Bombyx mori: one gene and its partners. The protein of the gene in region 1 purifies or fractionates together with the protein of each later gene. This does not show direct contact. Links are inferred from orthologs where the notes say so. Each region holds a gene or a part of one and is shown in the gene's direction. Other genes may lie near its edges. The genes, in order: clusterin-associated protein 1, intraflagellar transport protein 46 homolog and intraflagellar transport protein 57 homolog.

Region 1 (7,547 bases):
TATGGAACTGTAACGAAAACATCATTAGATGTCGTTGCATAAAGCATCGTTTTCGTTCAGAAAACTGTTGGAATAAGGATAATACTTAAAATTAGAAATAATGCCTAAATTTATTGTAAAAATGATTTAACACGTAAAATTTAATGCTTTTTCTATTTCTCCCAAAGTGAGTAACACTAAGCATTCTGTGTAACGCTCGTGAGCTTTAAGGAAAAACTTCGTTATCAGCTTATTTAAAATTATGAAAATATAGAGAGAGCAGAGGTTAGTACTTTAAAAGAAAATAAGTTACTAGAATTAAAAACAGTAGCGTCTGAATGGTGTATCTAATTCATATAATCATTTTAAATATTGCCTATCTTTACATTAAATTTAACATTTAAACATTAAATTTAAAACAATGATAATATTGAAATTTTGAAGGAAACATTTACGCTTTTCCACATCATTTTTCAATGAAATAATTAAGCGCCTGACAGCAATAACTTAGCAAATGACCACCAAAATGATTAATCATTACAATATTGCAGGAGTTTGTAAATTTAAACTGATCTCAATAAGAATGGAGTGAAAAATGATAATCTTTGTATATTTTTATTATTCAGAGAAGATCAAATAATAGCTTTGCAGTATACACATTGCATTAATTAAGTCGTTGGATGCGGAAGGCGGAGGACCGCATTATGTGGAAGGCATTGGGGAAGGCCTATGTCCAGCAGTGGGCAGATAAAGGCTGATGATGATGATGATGATGATGATTAATTATGCACAATAATTAATATTAATTATGCATTTAAGGGGCGTCTGAATAAGAGCTTTTATTATTAGTTGAGTGAGTGTTAGCATTGTTGTATTCTTATGAAAGCTACATTTTCCTCTAGTCGAGGGAGCACACGAGCTAATAGTGAGCTACAGCTCTTTTAACTATATGTGTAACTTGTATATCTTTTGTAGGAAAACTAAAGAAATAAAATTATTAAATTAGTAGTTCTCATAAGACAACACTATTTGTATGCCCAATTAGTATAAAACTGAGATAAATAATTCATGTTTTGTAGCGATTTATATAGGTACTATAAAAATAAAAATTGTTCGAAAATTTTTATGTTTATTTTTCACAAGTTTTATTTTGTGTGTACTTAGTGCGAGTTTTTTAACGTTCTCTATAGCGAAAGTTACTCAAACAGCGCCCCTAGCGGCAAACGTACGCAAACGTTCCAACTGCATACAAATTTGAGTTAACTTTTACGCTATCGAGAAAGTTAAAATAACCGCACTAAGCACACAGACGTCATTCGGCGACTTTAAATCCAAATTAATTAAATAATCGATTATGATTCTTCAACATGTGAATAATTACTTAATAGATTTATGGTTAGTATTCATAAAATTAGGGTTACCACCAGCATTGATTCCTAAAAAAATGTATGTGCCTAAATTTTTTTGTGTTCCTTTTTTTGCGATATTATTATTATTAGCTAGCTGGCTAATATGATTATGAAACTAATCTGCACTACTAAAAAAAGAGAATATTTTTCAAGGTAAGAACCACTGAAGTATAAAGGTCTATGGTAAGAACAGGTAATGTAACAGGTTATGTTATCAATGAGAAAGACGTTGTCATAGTAACGGCTTTTCACAACAAGTCTATCCTTAAGTGTTAGAACAGTGCTATTTTGTAAACACGGTAAAAACTGTTATTCCAGTGAGAACGACATGTCTTACCGTGATCTTAGAAGTGAGTTTTACAATTAGAAGAAAGTTTTTTGATTCTAATAAGATTAGGCTTGTTTGTACATCCTTTTATCCATTAAAAGTAGAAGAAATTTTATCGTGAAAATGAATGTAGAATTGGGATCGTGGCACATAAAATAAACTATCCACTGTTGCACTAATCATAGATTAGGTATACACTTAATATATTGCACTAATAATGAAAAATCAACTGACACCTTAGGCCTTGCTCATTCAATTGTCTTCGTCATCTTACTTTTCGCTGTCATTCTGTCTCTCATTCTCTTTCCCTTCCTTACCGTTTCCCTTCTCTCACATCTTAACGCTCCGTTCCATACTCTTCACTTCTTAACAATCCTTCATAAATGTAACATTAAAGATTTCAGCGAAGCCATGCGCGTGTTAGGCTTCCCGAAGCCAATATCCTTGGAGAGCTTCAGGATCCCGAACTGGGAACTGGTGGAGGAGTGTCTCCGCTGGCAGGCGGCGAGGGTCGACCCCGACGCCGTCCTGGCCGGCGGCCGGGGCAGCGTGGAGCAGCGCGTGTCCATAGTGACGCACGCGGTGTCTCTGTTTGTAAGTTTAGTGTGCCTCATTATTTTGCATTGGAATGCTTATACATTGCATAGACCGCCCCCGATGCGTCAAGTGTTTAGGCGATCACGCCACGGCCCTATGCACTCGCGATAAAAAAACCGCTACGGAACCGCCTAGCTGCGTCCTGTGTCAAACACAGGGTCACCCCGCAAATTACCGCGGATGCCCCCGAGCCCCGAAAATAAATCGCCGCGTCACCCGCCAAAACCGCCTCCGAGCTTTCGGCCCAGACATCAAAGCCTCGGCACCCTCTGCGTCGCAGGCTAAGCCAGCGTTCGTTCCGGCGGCGGTGCCCAGTGTCTCGGCCTGGGCGAAACCGCTGCCGTACACGAACACGGCTACAACTCCCTCCTCCGCGATTCGTCCCGCCCTCGCGACTCGTCCCTCTCCCGCGACTTGCCCTCCGACCGCGTCCGAAAATCTCGCTTTAGCGATCGACTTCTTTCAGTTGATCAACTTTGAGCGCGTTAACGCTTTGGGCGACGCCATTCGCGCTGCCTCCACTGCACAACACTTTATCGCCGTTGTGCAAGAATACGCCGACGTATACGCGTCATTAAATACGTACGTCCTCCCCTCACTCCGCCGGTAATCAATGGCGTATATAAGTAGATTAAAGCCCCTATCCGTAACGATAGGATTTTTTAACGCTTACGGTCTCGCAAATCAACGTGATCAGGTTTCTGACTTTTTGCGTGACCATCAAATTGATATATTTTTAGTGCAGGAGACCCTACTTAAGCCCGCGCGCCGTGACCCTAAAATCGCGAACTATAACATGGTCAGGAACGACAGGCTCTCTGCCCGTGGTGGTGGTACCGTCATTTACTATAGAAGAGCCCTGCATTGCGTCCCGCTCGATCGTCCCGCGCTCGCTAATATCGAAGCATCAGTGTGCCGAATCTCACTGACGGGACACGCGCCAATCGTTATCGCGTCCGTTTATCTTCCACCGGATAAGATCGTTCTAAGCAGTGATATCGAGGCGCTGCTCGGCATGGGAAGCTCTGTCATTCTGGCGGGCGACTTAAATTGTAAACACATCAGGTGGAACTCACACACCACAACCCCGAATGGCAGGCGGCTTGACGCGTTAGTTGATGATCTCGCCTTCGATATCGTCGCTCCGCTAACCCCGACTCACTACCCGCTAAATATCGCGCATCGCCCGGATATACTCGACATAGCGTTATTAAAAAACGTAACTCTGCGCTTACACTCGATCGAAGTAGTTTCAGAGTTAGATTCAGACCACCGTCCTGTCGTTATGAAGCTCGGTCGCGCTCCCGATTCCGTTCCCGTCACGAGGACTGTGGTGGATTGGCACACGTTGGGCATCAGCCTGGCTGAATCTGATCCACCATCGCACCCGTTTAGCCCGGACTCTACCCCGTCTCCTCAGGATACCGCTGAAGCCATAAACATCTTAACGTCACACATCACCTCGACATTAGATAGGTCATCGAAACAAGTTGTAGCGGAGGACTTCCTTCACCGCTTCAAATTGTCCGACGATATTAGGGAGCTCCTAAGAGCTAAGAACGCCTCAATACGCGCCTACGACAGGTATCCTACCGCGGAAAATCGTATTCGAATGCGTGCCCTACAACGCGACGTAAAGTCTCGCATCGCCGAAGTCCGAGATGCCAGATGGTCTGATTTCTTAGAAGGACTCGCGCCCTCCCAAAGGTCTTACTACCGCTTAGCTCGTACTCTCAAATCGGATACGGTAGTAGCTATGCCCCCCCTCGTAGGCCCCTCAGGCCGACTCGCGGCGTTCGATGATGACGAAAAAGCAGAGCTGCTGGCCGATACATTGCAAACCCAGTGCACGCCCAGCACTCAATCCGTGGACCCTGTTCATGTAGAATTAGTAGACAGTGAGGTAGAACGCAGAGCCTCCTTGCCACCCTCGGATGCGTTACCACCCGTCACCCCGATGGAAGTTAAAGACTTGATCGAAGACCTACGTCCTTGCAAGGCTCCCGGTTCCGACGGTATATCCAACCGCGTTGTTAAACTTCTACCCGTCCAACTCATCGTGATGTTGGCATCTATATTCAATGCCGCTATGGCGAACTGTATCTTTCCCGCGGTGTGGAAAGAAGCGGACGTTATCGGCATACATAAACCCGGTAAACCAAAAAATCATCCGACGAGCTACCGCCCGATTAGCCTCCTCATGTCTCTAGGCAAACTGTATGAGCGTCTGCTCTACAAACGCCTCAGAGACTTCGTCTCATCCAAGGGCATTCTCATCGATGAACAATTCGGATTCCGTACAAACCACTCATGCGTTCAACAGGTGCACCGCCTCACGGAGCACATTCTTGTGGGGCTTAATCGACCAAAACCGTTATACACGGGAGCTCTCTTCTTCGACGTCGCAAAAGCGTTCGACAAAGTCTGGCACAACGGTTTGATTTTCAAACTATTCAACATGGGTGTGCCGGATAGTCTCATGCTCATCATACGGGACTTCTTGTCGAACCGCTCTTTTCGATATCGAGTCGAGGGAACCCGCTCCTCCCCACGACCTCTCACAGCTGGAGTCCCGCAAGGCTCTGTCCTCTCACCCCTCCTATTTAGCTTATTCGTTAACGATATTCCCCGGTCGCCGCCAACCCATTTAGCTTTATTCGCCGACGACACGACTGTTTACTATTCCAGTAGAAACAAGTCCCTAATCGCGAAGAAGCTTCAGAGCGCAGCCCTAGCCCTAGGACAGTGGTTCCGAAAATGGCGCATAGACATCAACCCAGCGAAAAGTACTGCGGTGCTATTTCAGAGGGGAAGCTCCACACGGATTTCCTCCCGTATTAGGAGGAGGAATCTTACACCCCCGATTACTCTCTTTAGTCAATCCATACCCTGGGCCAGGAAGGTCAAGTACCTGGGCGTTACCCTGGATGCATCGATGACATTCCGCCCGCATATAAAATCAGTCCGTGACCGTGCCGCGTTTATTCTCGGTAGACTCTACCCCATGATCTGTAAGCGGAGTAAAATGTCCCTTCGGAACAAGGTGACACTTTACAAAACTTGCATAAGGCCCGTCATGACTTACGCGAGTGTGGTGTTCGCTCACGCGGCCCGCACACACATAGACACCCTTCAATCTCTACAATCCCGCCTTTGCAGGTTAGCCGTCGGAGCTCCGTGGTTCGTGAGGAACGTTGACCTACACGACGACCTGGGCCTCGAATCTATACAGAAATACATGAAGTCAGCGTCGGAACGGTACTTCGATAAGGCTATGCGTCATGATAATCGCCTTATCGTAGCCGCCGCTGACTACTCCCCGAATCCTGATCATGCAGGAGCCAGTCACCGTCGACGCCCTAGACACGTCCTTACGGATCCATCAGATCCAATAACCTTTGCACTAGACGCCTTCAGCTCTAGGAGCAGGCTTAGGGACCTCGGTAACCGTACTCATCGAACTCGACAAAGAGTTCGCCGTGCAACCTAACCCATGAATCAGCTCGCTGAGTTTCTCGCCGGATCTTCTCAGCGGGTCGCGATTCCGATCCGGTAGTAGATTCATTCGCGAAGCAGCTACTCTTGAGTTGTTAGGTCTCCTTCGGAGGCGCTCGGGTAGCTGTTAGCAAATCCCACCCCTCCTGGCTGAGCCTTTGCTCGCCCACCTGTCCTGGTGAAACTGGAAAGGCCTCCGGGCCACCAGTAATCCTTCAATCATAAAAAAAAAAAAACATTGCATAGACAGGAGAACGAATATAACCGATCAGTTATACCTAGGTACATCAGTACGTGAATGCCGTCACCTACCTTGAGACATGATGTTCAAGCTACAATTGTATAATATAACAGCTGTCCCACCTTTTTATTTTCCTTTACTTATTCGCTGGTAGCTTAAGAGACTATTCGAGCTACGCCCGGACGGGTAGGAGAGCTCACAAGAGCAGCGCTTCGCAGAATCTACCACTGGATCGGACCCTTCGAACCGGATGGCATCACTGCTTTTCGGCAGAAATAGACAAGTTAGGCTTACAAGAGGCACCGCCATCAGTGTAACTACGCAAAAAAAGAAAAAAACGTTATTATTCTTGTTATGACCTTCATTGTGCAAGTTATTCACGAACATGACTAAAGTACTCATTTCATTAATGTCTACAAGTGTTACTGTGAATATTCTTAATTTGCGTCTGGCCCACATCATGGAAAAAGTTCAGTCGTTCGTAGCTACGGATAATAATATTGCCAGGGGCAACTAGACACTCGCCTGCCTACCATGATGTGGAGTTTCTTAGCGTTTACCTACATTAAATATTTAATTATCTTATGACAAGACGAACAACAATATTCACCTAATAATAATATTAAACAAGATGCCATTTGCTTCTCTAAGTTTAAAAAATATAGTTGAAAACTTATGCAATTGACAGCACTCCCGAGCGAATCTTAAACTAAACGGCAAGAAGTTGTACGGTGCTGATGGCTGGGCCGTGCGTGAGTTGCTGAAGGTGGCGACCTTGTTGAGAGCAGCCTTGGAGTCACCGGGCTCTGAAGACCAGTCCGATTCAACTCCGCTGTCTTATGACATCAGTAATAGGGTCAGTAGTAAGATCCCGCGTGTTACGAGAATTCTGTAGACTTTTTTACTTTTTGTCTTTTTGTACATTTTTTTATTAGTTGTACGTAAGATTTTGAGAACCGGCTCGTTTTAAAATCGCCATCCCTAATGCTACCAAATAGTTCTTTTACAAAGAACACGGGAACGGTTAGCGATTCAGAGACGGTACTAAAATTTTTATCATCAATAAAAAAATTATATTTACATGTACCTTTTTATTTATTTATTTTTTATTGCTTATATGGGTGGACGAGCTCACAGCCCACCTGGTGTTAAGTGGTTACTAGTGCCCATGGACATCTACAACGTAAATGCGCCACCCACCTTGAGTTATAAGTTCTTAGGTCTCAAGTATAGTTACAACGGCTGCCCCACCCTTCAAACCGAAACGCATTACTGCTTCACGGCGGAAATAGACAGGGTGGTGGTACCTACCCGTGCGGACTCCCAAGAGGTCCTACCACCAGTAAACCTATCTACCTATCGTTATCGTCAACGTTTATCTTAAAATGTGAAGTCTTCGTCTATTTGCACTAAGCACTTGGTCGACTGGATGCTGTGCGTCTTCCGAGGTTCGATGAAAGCAAAGCAACGTGAGAGATACAACCAATCAAATATAAAA
Region 2 (7,447 bases), on another chromosome or scaffold:
TACAGACCGCAGATAACAGTCTTTATACCTCTAAACCGATAGAGGTACTCACGTCCCACCTGGTGCTAAATGGTCACCGGAGCCCATAAGTCCTACGAACAAATGGTCTTGAAAAATAAAACCTCTAAGTGATGTTTAATAGTACACCGAAATAACCCAAACTATTCAAAAAGTCCAACTCTACCGTACAATAGACTGTCTTATCACTAAAACTGTAACTATACTGTGTAGGCTGTGAGCTCGTCCACTCATCCAAGCAATAAAAAAAAGTATAGGCTACTATATAAGGCCTTCAGCGCAAAAGTGGTCTAAGCTTACCTGAGCTTACTATAATAAGTATGGAGACAATGAGGTCTGAATTTGCTGACCTGTACTGACTGCCGACCGAACCTGTAGACCGAATGGTATACAGTCGACGTTGTCCAAAACACGTCATTACGGATCCTCCCGATCCATTAACGGTGCTTTTAGGTACTACAAGCACCGGTTACCGTCCTCGTCGAACCCGTCGCTTACGACGAAGGGCTCGACGAGCGAATTAACCCATAGACACAGCCCACTGAGTTTCTCGCCGAATCTTCTGAGTGGGTCGCGTTTCTGATCCGATGGTAAATTCTGCGAAGTAGTGCTCTTGCTAGGCCCGGTGTTAGCAACAGTCCGGTTTGAGCATCGTGAGCTCACCTACACGTTAGGGTGAAGCTGAAATAGCCTCTCAAGGCTATTAGCATAGGTAGGAAGAACAAAAAAACTACGAATATCAAATAATGTAGGATAGGCCACTTTTGTGCTGACGGCCTCATATATGGCACTATAGTATAGCGTAGTCTGAAATCAGCTTTAATCATCTTATAATTCAGAAACAGATAGCGGAGAAATGGAACGCGAGCGACCCGACCCCCTGATAGGCAGCGGTCGCAAGCGAGGCGGCGTCGTGATACCAGCTGAAGGCGCGTACGATCCCAAGCTGTATCAGGATCTGAAGGTTCCGCCTGAAATGGAAAACATCTTTCAGTATATTATGAAGTGAGAACCTATGTCTTTACAGTTTTCGTTTGCTGCACACGAGTTTCTTTGACTACGATGATAAGCATTTTCTGATGGCAAGTGATTGTGGACTCAATAGGCGTTTTGCCTTATGTGTATGCACAAACTTTACATACATTATATACGACCTGTACCCACTGCTGTCCCGTTCCATATATGTATACATATTCTTAAAATAATTATTGCACAGAAGAATGAAGTACCTTTGAAAATTAGGAGAATCTACTTTTACAACAAATTTGTAAAGTAAAATCGACAGTAAGAAACGCGAGATTAAACCGTAAAAATAGTTTTAAATCCGATTACGTCTCGCCGATACCGCAAAGTAAATAAGCTCAATGAAATAATTCTCATTTTCTTATTGTGAAAAAGTCGTTATATTAGTCCAGCCGGTCAAGTTTTAGAGTAAGAAAACAGTTAAATACGAAATATTGACTTCGACTTTGTTAAACAGGAATTTTAAATTCGACCCGGTGCAACACTATGCTACTGTAAATTTTATAGTAGTTTTTATATTTATGTACCAGCGGCCGGCGCGCTAATATGCGAATCCTCGGGCATTGATGACGTATATGTAACTGATCCATGTTACGAAAACGCTTTTTTTTGTCAGGAGGAAATCACCGGACTTCCGCCCTCCACTGGGGATGGAGGGCGGGGCATGTCGGAGTCGAACCGACTAAAGCCTCCTGTCGCTCAACAACCAGCATCCAAATCTCGCATGAGACATAACTAATGAAAAAGCAAAGGGGAGAAAGCAAAGCGTTTAGTGCGGAGCACATCTCTCCCATCACCCTCTCCCTCTTTTGTTGGTAGTCGGGTTTCAATATTTCCTTCGTGCTCTTTTCGAGATTGAATTTTTAAAAGCCAATTATTTATACTCCACTGCACCCGCGTTGGAACTTAATATGTGCCACGAGATATTTTCTCCGGTTAACGAGCGATTTTAGGTCATCAAAATAAAATTAGCAAAATGACTGTTGATTCTAGGACAGTGGGAGTTACGATAGTAATTATTGTGAACCCGTACGGGTAGATACCACTGCTCCGCTTATTTCTGCCGCCAAAGAACCACGGGTTCTGGTTTATAGAATAATCTGAACATTGTGTATCTGAAATTGTCTATTTTCCCGCTCAAATATTGTCCCAAAAACACAGCCCACTGAGTTTCTCGCCGGATCTTCTTAGTGGGTCGCGATTCCGATTCTGTGGTAGATTCTCCGAAACACCGCTCTTGCTAGGGCTAGTGTTAGCAATTTCTCTTAGGTTGATCCTCACCTATTCGTCCGCGAGAAGCTGGGATATCCCCTTAGGATGTCAGCAAATCGGTAGGTAGGGAAAAAAGCTCAAACATTGTTTGACATGTATCACGGTAAAAACATAAAGAAAAACAAAGACGAACGCATTCCTAAATTTTCATAGTTATCAAGATATCCCAGAACATCAATTATAAATTATTAACGGAATAGTTAGTGCGCTCTACATATCGTCCTTTAATGCGATATATCAAATTTACAGACATGTGGGCGAAACGCCTACAGTTTAACCTTGCTAGATCTAGAGTTAAACTAAAATTAACGGTTAACAACTCTTTAGTAATAGACATTAGGTCGAATTCGAGCTGGCAATTGAAATCTAATAAGATTATTAGCGTCAACCAGGTTAGGGTTTGCAGTGGTCCGAGGAAGGTTTATTTACTCTTTCAAAACCAATATTCGATTGTGTCTGTATTTGTAAAAACTAAGTTTACCTTTTTATCATCATAGTCGGTTGTTCTTGGCAGAGCAGTCGTGGTCATGTGGAATTCTTGTCTATCAAAGCCTTGACAGATATTCCCATAGTTTATAGATATATTTCCATAGTTTGCAAATTGAGGCTTGGCGCACGCACTCGTTAAGTGGGGTTTTAGTAAGGTCTTTCACCTGATCAGTCTAGCTTTACCTTTTAATGTTGTAAAAATAGGTTCCACTGCCTCAATGTTGAATTAAATGGATTTTACTCTTCAGGTAAGGAATTTAGGGAACCCGATATTTCAATGTAACAATACGTTTCGACTTTGTTTTTTGTATATCTACCGGTGGTCTCGAAGGGCCATTTTGGCTTCATCCTGGCTCATGGATGAGCTCACGAGGCTCAGCCTGAAAGAGTTTCGGAATATCTGTCCTAGAAAGAGCAGTGCTTCACTGCATCTAACATCGGATCGAAATCGCAACCCACTGAGAAGGTCAGGCGAGGAATTCTATGGGTTGTGTCTATGGATTAGGATGCACGTCGAACTCACGAGAAAAATGACCGGGAGAGAATCTGAAAGGACACCTTGGGCGAAGTCGACTCTTCGTTGTCCCGTTGTCTGAGTCGGGTTTGTAGTTAGCTGACATTTCGACAGTCTATGAATATGCTCCAAGTTTGTATTGTCTATAAGCTCCAGTACTGAAGAATCTGATTCGGTGTCCAGAGGGGGCCCCGGTCTGCTTCTTTCGAGACTCAAGCACCCCTTGTTGAGCTACAGGAGGCCTTAGCCGATTCAACCCCGACATACCACTCTTAAGGCAAACAGCACATAGGCGAATGCCCGGAGATTTCCTAAATCCAAACAAAAAGATCTCTAGCAACTGTTAAGTACCATAGATAATCTGTTAAAACATTTGAGTGAAGCATACAACTGTTGCTGCTATAGCCCTACTGGGAGCTAAATTTATAAAAGCGAAACCCGTCATATTGTTTAAGCGCGTGTATAATTCACAATATGTTATTGTACGTGAGCACGCGATCATACCTTGTATCACGAAAACTTGAAATCGCATATTTCCGGTAGAAAGATTTTTAATTTGATGGATTTTATTATTTTGTTTCTTTTTTTTTTTACAATATTCGCAACTCTAAGAGTATGTTTAATACTTTCACACGTTTCGTAGACCCGCAAGCTATATCGAACTAAAATTCGGCAGTCATCGAACCCGGGGTCAATGAACGCAAATTTTGTAAGTAAATCATGTTGATCTTGATTGATATCCCTCTCACAAAGTAGACCAATAAACGTCATGATCTTTGAGTGTGTTTCAAAGACTCCCAAATTACGAGATAGACTGCAGGGCCCCATCATATCAGATTCAGATTGGGACTAATACTTTTTGGCAGGTAGGGGTAGTATATTATTTCTGTTTCGGTTTACGACGGCGGCAAAATATCCTGCTATATATTTGTAATAAATGAAGGCAGCACAAACGAAAAGAAATTGCTAATCTAATTCATTTTCGTTAATTCATACTAAGAAACGAAGACAGCTCGACACTGGAGTTCGTTGACCGCACGCGGCAGCTGGTCTTAAATTGTGTTACATTGCGTAGAGTCGAATACACTTTATTAGAATACGGTTGTTTTGGTTGAGTTTATAGGATTTACATTTCCACTACACGTCATCTCCGGTTATAATGGACGGTTTTCATGGTTCTTTTCGATGAATATCTTTTACAAGATAAAAATCTCTTCTAGATACACACCGCAGAAGATAGACATTGACTTCAAGCTGCAACCGTTTGTGCCGGAATATGTGCCGGCTGTTGGTGACATTGACGCCTTCCTAAAGGTGACGACGCCGGCGTGCGACGTGCGAGGGGGCCAGCTAGCCGAACAAGTACTCGAACACATCGACAACTTGGGTAGGTTTTTGATGAGATTCAAAATAGATGGGAGAGTTGCTCAGATCGGCACGTTTGTTCTTAAATATTAAGTGTAATATCTATGGTTTCTGTGTTACCGTACTGCCAATTTCGCATTTAGACTTATAGTATGGAGGATAGAGGTAAGGAGAACCGGCTTATATGGGAGGAAGCTTGAAAGTGTCCCACTTTCAGCACTAAATAACAGTTAAAAATCCTCCAGAACACGTCGAACTCTTTGTCGAGTTCGCCGAGTACGGTTACCGGGGTCCCTAAGCCTGCTCCTAGTATTAGAGCTGAAGGCGTCTAATGCAAAGGTTATTGGATCTGATGGATCCGTAAGGACGTGTAATTCGGTCTATAGAGGATGGAGGTATGGAGAACATTCTCCGTTTGTGAAAAATTGTTCTTCAAAAAATTACCAAATTAGGGCGGCGCCACCGTAACTAGTGGTGTAATTGCAAAGAAAGCGTCAAAAGATATTCCATTACATTTTCGTTTACAACTTGTATATTCATATCAATTTCAGCACCATCGCCATTTTGGTAGATTTTTTGTAATTTCCTGCTACAGCTACAGCTGAGCTCTTTTTCATCTTGTCCTCGATATGAGGCAATTATCCTTACTTCTACCTTCCATAGTTCGTTTTTTTTTGGAGTTGATGACTTGGTGTCTGGCCAAAAATGTTATGTTCTAGGTTCTATAGTTCGTACGTACAGGGCAATGTTGCCAAGGTGGCGGAATTGTATGGAATATTTTGATGATTTCAGGGCTGACGGTACTGGACGAGCCGTCGGCCGAACAAAGCGACTCGGCGCTTTTACACTTGCAGCTGAGGGCTATATCGAAGACGAATCATTCTAAAACCACCGTGGTGTGTGTTTATAAGTATATTAATACGCTTTTATTAGCTTCAGACGTATATATGTTAGTATGTAACGGAATCTTTGAACATGATTTTGTTGACACACTTCAAAACGTCGGATTAACTCGAAATTTGGTATACTTATTATGGACCGATGACAATTAAAAAAAATAGGAAAAAATTGAAATTCAACTAAAAAAATAAAAATAAATAATAGTTAAAAAAAACTAACAAAATACGCTTTTATAGAAACTCCAACTAAAAAATTGAATTTTTTTTTTTATGAAATTTTGAATTAAAAATAGTGTACGGAAAAATGATTTTATTGTAAAAAAAAGCGTGGGGTGCATGTTATCAGTAGTTATAAATATTTTATGAACAGATATGAGTAGAAGGGTTATTTATTGATAAAAAATAGTGAACTCAGGGGCACGTTTGTTACTGTTGTTAAATATATGAACTCATCGCGGCCTAAAGGATAACGCGGCAGGTGTATTCGTATGGAGCGACGTGAGTGTGCCGGTGTTCGAATCCCGCAGGCGGGTACCAATTTTTCTAATGAAATACGTACTTAAAAATTGTTCACGATTGACTTCCACGGTGAAGGAATAACATCGTGTAATAAAAATCAAACCCGCAAAATTATAATTTGCGTAATTACTGGTGGTAGGACCTCTTCTTGTGAGTCCGCACGGGTAGGTACCACCGCCCTGCCTATTTCTGCCGTGAAGCAGTCCGTTTCGGTTTAAAGGGTGGGGCAGCCGTTGTAACTATACTGAGACCTTAGAAATCATATCTCAAGGTGGGTGGTGGCATTTACGTTGTAGATGTCTATGCTCCGGTAACCAATTAACATAGGGTAGGCCGTGAGCTCGTCCACCCATCTTATCGATAAATATAAAAAAAGAAGAAACCGAAGTACTATATCGATATTGTTGTTCAGTTGACGAAGAAGATTGACAATCCGGAGAGCAATCCCAAAGCGATCGACCGTTGGATCAAGGACGTGGCTGAGCTGCACCTCTCGAAGCCAGCGCCCACGGTCTCCTATACCAGGTGAGGCAGCTAAAGGAAATCAGGGCTTTTACATATTTTTTTTAAACACCCATCGTACCACTCGTCAGCGGAGCCATCCTTACTGCCTGGAATAATTCCGACCACAGTGCGTTTCCGTTTTTTTTTTTGTTGATGTCCATGTTGGCATTTGTGGCAATTCACCATCAGATTGGCTGTTGGCTGTTTCGTTTCGAAGACATTAAAAAAAAAAAGAATGTTTGCAATTGAGACGAATTTAAAATTTCGGGAAGAGGATAATTGTAGGTTTTAGTTAATGATCATAGTGATACACAAGTTCGATAATTATTTTACATTTTATTCGTATAATAATTACATAGATTTATTCAGAATGCATTAAGTCCGAATATTAGGTACGAAGCAAAGAGAACCACGAATATAAGAAACACTGTATAATGCTTCCTATCTCATTTTCTCCCACGTTAAATCTTATGAATTTATGTGTCTGTCTCTTTTTACTGTCGCTTTTTCGTTTCATCGACTTTCGAATCATAACGAGGCTAAAGAAGTTTTCGCTTCAAAAATATACCTTAACAAGTACTATTGTTTATTTGATAGTGTTGTCTGTTTGTTTTAGGATGGTGATTGATCATTTTGCCTTTACATTGTTTAGGTGGATAGGTTTGGGATCGTGGATAATCCCATTCTCACGGATCGTTTGAAACCTCTGGGTCTGCGGAGGGACTTCGGTTCCCTCTGTATTTTGTACCGTATGTTCCATGGGGAGTGCTTTGAGGAATTGTTCGAGATGATACTGTCATCTCGTTTTTAGTATCGAACCGCTCGCCACCGGAGTAGAATTCAT
Region 3 (7,547 bases), on another chromosome or scaffold:
CTTTACATATTTTGTAACGGTGGAACTGTAGGCTTAGGCCTTGTTCTTTGCTTCACGGCACCTTCGATTTAGGCCCTTTTAAATACGCTTTTATTAAATCACATGTTCACGCCAATTCATATAAATGCGTTGAGTTGTCTCGAGATTCCCTTATTAAGTCTTTTAAGGTCCATATTTGGCATTTACACGAACCCACCTAGTTGTGATAACGCAAAAACTTGATTTGACTAGCCAAGTCCAATTCGGTAAAGCCTCAAAACTTCGACCGAACAGGATTAGCGATGTTAAAAACGATTTAATACAACACGAACTCACCTTCGATGAACGAATTCACATTACACTCGCGCGCATCCGATATTATATTGATATTTCCACTGAGCTGAACATCCACTGGCACAGAACAGTCAAGACACGTGACGCGGCGACAATAAAAGAATAACTATTTTGTGAGTTACGTCGGTTTGTTTAAGGACACACGATCGTCTCTAACGAACGCCGGGCCGCGACTGAACTGAAGTTCTGAAGCAGCACGCGGTGGACGCGAATGTTTCTAATTTTATCGTGCCAGTAATACGAGATAAAGCCGGTCTTTATTGAGGATTTTTTTTATTTTATTTTATAAGGATCAGACGGCTCTCATATGCGCACGGCCTACTAATGAGGCACTCCGTTCCAGTCGGTTGTACTGATGGAATTATTTTGAGGTGCACTGATATAATGTTTAGTAATTTAGCTTGGCTCCGAATAGTTCCGAGTTGCTATCACATTTTGTATTTCTTGAATTACTGTTTTTTGCTACTTCACTAGATTTTTTTATTGCTCAGATAGTTGGACGAGCTCACAGCCCACCAGGTGTCTCAGTATAATTACAACGGCTGCCTCACCCTTCAAACCGAAATGCAGTACTGCTTCACGACAGAAATATGCAGAGTGGTGGTACTATCCCTGTGCGGACTCACAAGAGGTCCTACCACCAGTAAGTCCTATCCTAAGTCTATCTAAGCAAAAAGTTTTATGAAGCATAGATAAATTGGTTCAGTGCTCATTCCAGTATATGCGTAGCATTTTATCCAACGTCAGCGAGGGATGAACTCTCTTGAGATTCGAAGTTTTATGGGGCGTGGAAAGATCATTTTCAAACAACCAAATCATAGTTGTTCCCCTGCTATTGCTGAAGTCCATAAACGACTGTGACCACTTCCCATAAGTTCCTGTATGAGCCTCTGTATAAAAAGATTACCAGATAGGTATGCTCAGAGGATTTTAACGATCAATGTAACTGCTATCAATAATTAGGATGTACGGGTAAACAATTCTGGCTTTCTTGAAGCACTGCTAGAATTTTCCTGCCATCCCTTCACGGTTAAAATACTCTAATTTATTTTCCCACTGCCTAATTCTTAACATTTTTGTTTTTTTCCTACTTATGCTGATAGCCTGGAGAGGCTATTCAGCTTCTCCTTGACGTGTAGGTGAGGTCACGGGGCTCAAACCGGGAGTGCTGCTAACAAGGGCCCTAGCAAGAGTAGTGCTTTGCAGAATCTACTACCGGATCTGAAACGCGACCCACTAAAATGATTCGGCGAGAAACTCAGTGGGCTATGTCTATGGGTTAATTCATTCGTCGAGTCCTTCGTCGTAAGCGACGGGTCCGATGAGGACGGTGACCGGTGCTTGAGGTAGGTACCTAAAAGCACCGTTAATGGATCGGGCGAAACCGTAATTACGTATAACCTTCTAGTTTCTATCTAAAGTATTGGTGGCAGAGCATCTTGCAGTCATTGGAATTGTCGTGGCCTAGATAAGACGCTCTTACTAGTATCGAACGATGCAACCATGCCAGTGTTCCAATACCGCAGGCAGATAAACATTTTTGTAATGAAATACGTACATAACACGTTTTCGTGTATGCCTCCCAAAGTGATGCAATAAAATCGTGTGATAAAAAAAAATATTAATTTGCGAAAACCGCGACGGTGCGTTAATCGGCCAATTGTTGCTCTGTTAATTTTAATATTAGCAGCTTTTTTTTCTTTGTTTTTATTGCCCTTATAGGCAGACGAGCATACGGCCCACCTGTGAGTGGTTGGTTAACGTCGCCCGTGGACTTCAGCAATCCCAGGGGCAGAGCCAAGCCGCTGCTTACCGCTACCACTACAGCTTCCAATCTCATCTTCACTAGTACATTTCGTTTTACATTAAGTTCATTTTCATGTCTCATAGACACAGTTAATTTCTTGTTGAGTACGCACCAGAGAATATGTTCAGCAAATTGATGAACACAACCGTTTCAAAATTATTAATGAATCTTAGTTTAACAATGGTTTAATTAAAATTAATCATACCGATATCCAAACATGGGTGAGAGAATGCGTAGTATTGTTCCCAACGTTTGTAATAATAATACAAGCGTAGAAAATGAGTATCAGAGCTTCTGTATTAATAAACCGACTTGATATAAGGAAACTAACTTGTTTAGAACCAAGAATACAGAAAAGGTTTTTTTTTATTGCTTATATGGATGAACAAGCTCACAGTCCGCCTGGTGTTAAGTGGTTACTGGAGCCCATAGACATCTACAACGTAAATGCGCCACCCACCTCGAGATATAAGTTCTAAGTATAGTTACAACGGCTACCCCCACCCTTCGAACCGAAACGCATTACTGCTTCACGGCGGAAATAGGCGGGGTGGTGGTACCTACCCGTGCGGACTCCCAAGGTCCTACTACCAGTTTAAAATCGTTCAATCGTCTTGACATATGAGCCCGAACCGGCAGCAAGAAGTTGTTATTTCATTTATTTTTCGATGTACCTATCACTTATTTCTGGAATTTGTGTAGTTCCTTGAAATTCAGTGCATTTACAAATCTAATATTAGCGTAATATCTATGTTTACCAACGAACTGTAGACCATAGATAATAAATACACTTCACATTTAAGCGGTGGACTGATCACCATAGCAACCGTAGCGAAGCACTTCAAAACAATCACGCATTACTTTTAGCGTAATTCAAACATTATCAACATGGATTTAAGACTTATGGATAAATTACGTTTATTAAAAATCGACACGGATCTGCGTCCCCAGATAAAAATGAAACCGTTGAGTCGATATTATTTCGTGACGTCCACTAATCCGAACGAACAGTTTTTCGTGTTTGCCTCGACAGCGGCCTGGTTGATAAGGAAGTGTGGCAAGGATTTCGCTCAGCCCAACGAAGAGGACGATCCTAACACAATCATAGCTGCAGTAATTGATGTACTCAAAGAAAACGAAGTTAATGTAGATTTCTCTTCGCATAAACTAAAACAAGGATGGGGCGATCAAGTTTGTAGTATCCTGAATATTCTCGCAGATGAAGCATTGAAAAAAGAAAACTTTGAATGGCAAAAACCAGTTGTTGACATACCAGAATCAGAAGAGTCGGTTGATGACATTGATCAAGTTGAAGACGAAACCGAAATATTACTGGACAAAGTTGAAGATGAAATGCCCATTTATTCTGATGAATCTGAAGGAGATATTAATGCAGACGAAAAAGAACCAAGTAACATAGCCCAAAAGGTTCACGATTGGGAAGCGTGGAAGTTGGAATTGGAAAGGGTCGCTCCGGCTCTAAGATTGAAGATATCCGCCGATGGACGCGACTGGCGAGCGAGACATGCACAGATGAGGAGTTACAAAGAAGAGTTATTCGATAGATTTAAAACAACGGGAACCCAGCTGAATAAATTGCACAGTAGCATTTCATCGGCTATGGATAAGGTAACGGCCAGGGAGAATATATTGAATGAGCAATTCGAGCCTCTTGTCAAAGAATATGGTTCTCTACTCGACGAACTAAACAAAGTGTCAAATGAATATAAAGAGGCCAGTGTAGGTATCACTGAAAGGCAAGACATGTTGAACGAGCTTTCAACAAAGCTAGAGAATATTAAACAAAGAACCGAATCTAAAGGGTCCTCGATGAACGACAATTCTCCTCTAGTTACAGCAAAGAAAGCTGTCGCGACCTTGAAGAAAGATATACAGGAAATGGACTTTCAGATCACGGTGTTGCTGTGGCTTCTGACAACAAAGGAATCGAATGGCAACAGTTTACTTAATAACAAGGAATCTGGGATGATTGCCAACGAAGTGTACTAAATACAATCTATACTAATACATCAATCTAGTGGTTTTTACGGATGTTCCGTTATAACTACTGAACCGTGCATCCGATTGACTTGAAACTTGGTATCCATGTAGATAATACATGTACTTAATGGATAGGCTAACATTGATGTGTTGGACTCCCTACACCAGTTGCGGGGGCGTTAATGATGAGAATTTTTGTGGGGTTGAGAAATAATAATGTTTAAATGCCCAGCGAAGCGGAGGGGTTCAGCTAGTTAATTATTATTTTAGATTGATACAGTATTTGTACGAAGTTTTTGGTGTGTCGCTATTAATGTTGGCAAATCGAATCCAAGGTTTGCCACTAAGCAGTCTCAACAAAATAATTCTGTCAAAACGAAATGGTTTGTTATTTGTTGAATGCAATGTATGGTTTAATACGACTATTTTGCCCGACTTTATTGGACTACCGAACAATGCATTTATAAGACATGAAATGTATTAATGTCTTGTTTCAATAACTGTTTGTAGTTTTTTAAGATTTATTTTGTCTCATGTATGCAAACTCTTCTTTGTACTACTAGGCTACTTTGGTCATATTGTCAGTTAGGAACCTAACAATTGTCACAAACTGGTGGCGTTGTGGCTAAAGTAAATTGCAAAAGGCCTCATAGATGCCCTTGCTTTTACCAAATGAAGACATTCATTGGCCTACCTCACTTCAGCTCTTAGAGTTGCTGAAAATCGACGACCTCAGTTAAAAGAAGAACACGATCAAGAAGGATCAGAAAAAAAATTGTAAATTTTGATGACATTAATTTTTATATTGGTGGGCTATAAATAAATACCTATCAGCGTTTTATACGGTTTTCTCGAGTCGTAGACATAATTAAAATTAATTCTACGATTTAATATAATATGCTTTTCATAGTTTTTTTTTACACGGACGTCGGGCCACGACAACTGTAAAAGTATTCGAAACTCTTTTTCTTTTTCTCTACCTTATCCCACTAGGTGGGGTCGGCACAGCAAATTTTTCTCTTCCATTCTCTTCTATCAGCCGTCATCTCAACACTCACTCCTCTCTCTCTCTCTCTCTCTCTCTCATATCGTCATTCACACACTCCATCCATGACCTCTTCCCCCTCAAAGTATTCGAAGCGTCGGATATAATAATTCTAGGAGTGAGAGGCTATTTGGTTTCAGCGACATATTTGCAACTTTACAGGACTCATATTCAAAGTTTAAAATTTGGAAAAAATATCATACCAAAAAAACTTCTTTAGCTATTTGATTGGGGTAAACTTAATTGAATAAAAACATCGAAGTGTTGATGCTAATACCAAATAAAACGGACCTTTAGTTACATCGATAAATGTCGAGCCAAATAACCTGTCACCCCACGATACAATGAAGAAAAAAAAAACGCGATATTAAACTGTAAAAGATATATTAATTAATATCTGTTAGATTTTTGAATTGCGACTTAAATATTGTATTACAAAAAGTATTGTACAAGTAGTATTGACGTCATTTTATGACCATTCCTTTGCGGTTGAGGCTGTCCGTTTATGGAATGCGTTACCCTTAAGCGTTAAACTATCTTCCTCGCCGGAAATTTTCAAGTCCAGATTGAAATCGCACTACTTTGCTTCTATGATATAACTGTATAAGTTCCTACTTCTTTTGTATTTTATCTTGTATATTTTTAGTATTTATTTGTATTTAATCGTATGTAAGTTTATCTTATATGGTATTTATTTTTCACATGTGTATTTAAGTATATATTTTTATGTAAGTTTATTAAGATATAGCACCGTCCAGTTAACTTATTCCTCTCCCTGCAAGGTTGCCTGGAAGAGATCGCTTTCAGCGATAAGGCCGCCGATTTATATACCGACTTTTGTTTTGTTACTTTACTGTGTACATATTAAGGTGTTATATAAATAAAGAGTTATTATTATTATTATTATTATCAATAAAAATAAAATAATACACTTTTGGTGGTTTATTGAATACATTTATTTTCAGTAGTGACAACATATTAACAATAAAAATGAATTATTCTCAATATAAATCAATCGAAGAATGTTCGATAACTTCTAGAATTTAATAATAGAAACACCACGAAGTTGTCAGAAACGTTTTTAATTTATAAAACCATCATTTTTTTATAGTGTTTCTTTAAAGCTATCATGCTATGATGTATTGCACAAAATAAATAATATATTATGGATTTATTTTAAATACTTACGTTACTGCGGATGTTGCATGCCAAGCTAACATACAGTCATAGCAAAAGACATTTTAAAATACAAACCGAAGAAAAAAAAATACAGTTTTGACAAGATGTAATTATTTTTTTTGGAATTTACGTTTGAACGAAAACAAAAACTGTATTTATTATTATTTTATTTTTATATTAAATTTTTTCGGGTTTTATTTCCAGATGTCTCTGCTTGCGTTAACTTTAGCCAACACACAATATATTTTATAAGCTCTAATATATAACAGAAAAAAATTTTGAATAATAAAAAAATAATAATAATCAAACAACGCATATTATTATAGTATATAACTGTGACTTAGTACACGTGTCCAGTTGCATTACGGCATTTACTTCGTTGATGTCCACGGGCTCCGGTAATCATCGTCGTCTTACCATTGCTCAGGTCCAAGCAAAAGAAATAAATATGATTTGGGGTCTCATTTCGACTTCTCTAAACCTACTGTAGACTGTACTTATGAATTACTCATTTCCTACGCCCGCGTTGGCTGAGTTTTGGCCAACATTTATTGGCTTTAGATTGAATCGCATTATGTGACTACTGTGTACTTACTTTTGTGCATTTGACGTAAATTTAGTCTTTGGTACTTAAGGAACTAAACAGAACATGGTACTTTAATTATTAATAAAACAAAATTGTTAAGGTTTGGTCCATTTTCTTTAAATATATTTAAAATTTTAAATAAATATCGCATTAATTTTTTATTGAATAGGTTAAGTTATTATAACTAACTATTAGACATGATATTCCGCCATGTTTTCCCCTAAACAAAAACAAAAAAGATACCGCAAAATCCAGACTAAAATATATTGGAACTAAAAAAGTATGTATCATTAACTTATAATCGATTATATATTATAAATATTCCGTGTACTTATCTCATACAACTTTCAAATTAAATTGAATATAGACACACGAATAAAGAGATATTTACCAAATTAAATAATAATGTTGTAAACTTAAATAAGCTTAAGTAAAGAAAGTTTAAAGTATCTTATACCTTTAAACGAGCAATTCTTGTATATTCATATCATCATCATCATCATTTCAGCCTATCGCCGTCCACTGCTGAACATAGGCCTCTCCAATAGATTTCCAGTGCGACCGGTCCATTGCCACCTGCATCCAACGAGACCCAG

Evidence for each region.
Region 2: the proteins of clusterin-associated protein 1 (region 1) and intraflagellar transport protein 46 homolog purify together in Homo sapiens (affinity purification with mass spectrometry; 3 studies listed by BioGRID and IntAct, with this or other methods). This does not show direct contact. The link is inferred for Bombyx mori from reciprocal best matches to the Homo sapiens genes CLUAP1 and IFT46.
Region 3: the proteins of clusterin-associated protein 1 (region 1) and intraflagellar transport protein 57 homolog purify together in Homo sapiens (affinity purification with mass spectrometry; 4 studies listed by BioGRID and IntAct, counting the BioPlex papers as one, with this or other methods). This does not show direct contact. The link is inferred for Bombyx mori from reciprocal best matches to the Homo sapiens genes CLUAP1 and IFT57.

The regions. Positions count from the first base shown.
Region 1 is NC_085123.1:633,123-640,669, forward strand, and holds the start of clusterin-associated protein 1, read left to right. Parts: upstream 1-1,716; coding exon 1,717-1,738; intron 1,739-2,113; coding exon 2,114-2,310; intron 2,311-6,737; coding exon 6,738-6,905; intron 6,906-7,547. UniProt on the Homo sapiens protein: Required for cilia biogenesis. Appears to function within the multiple intraflagellar transport complex B (IFT-B). Key regulator of hedgehog signaling.
Region 2 is NC_085131.1:2,011,840-2,019,286, forward strand, and holds part of intraflagellar transport protein 46 homolog, read left to right. Parts: intron 1-857; coding exon 858-1,023; intron 1,024-4,536; coding exon 4,537-4,703; intron 4,704-5,473; coding exon 5,474-5,577; intron 5,578-6,511; coding exon 6,512-6,624; intron 6,625-7,447. UniProt on the Homo sapiens protein: Forms part of a complex involved in intraflagellar transport (IFT), the bi-directional movement of particles required for the assembly, maintenance and functioning of primary cilia. May play a role in chondrocyte maturation and skeletogenesis.
Region 3 is NC_085120.1:9,284,069-9,291,615, forward strand, and holds intraflagellar transport protein 57 homolog, read left to right. Parts: upstream 1-2,956; 5' UTR 2,957-3,028; coding exon 3,029-4,150; 3' UTR 4,151-6,119; downstream 6,120-7,547. UniProt on the Homo sapiens protein: Required for the formation of cilia. Plays an indirect role in sonic hedgehog signaling, cilia being required for all activity of the hedgehog pathway.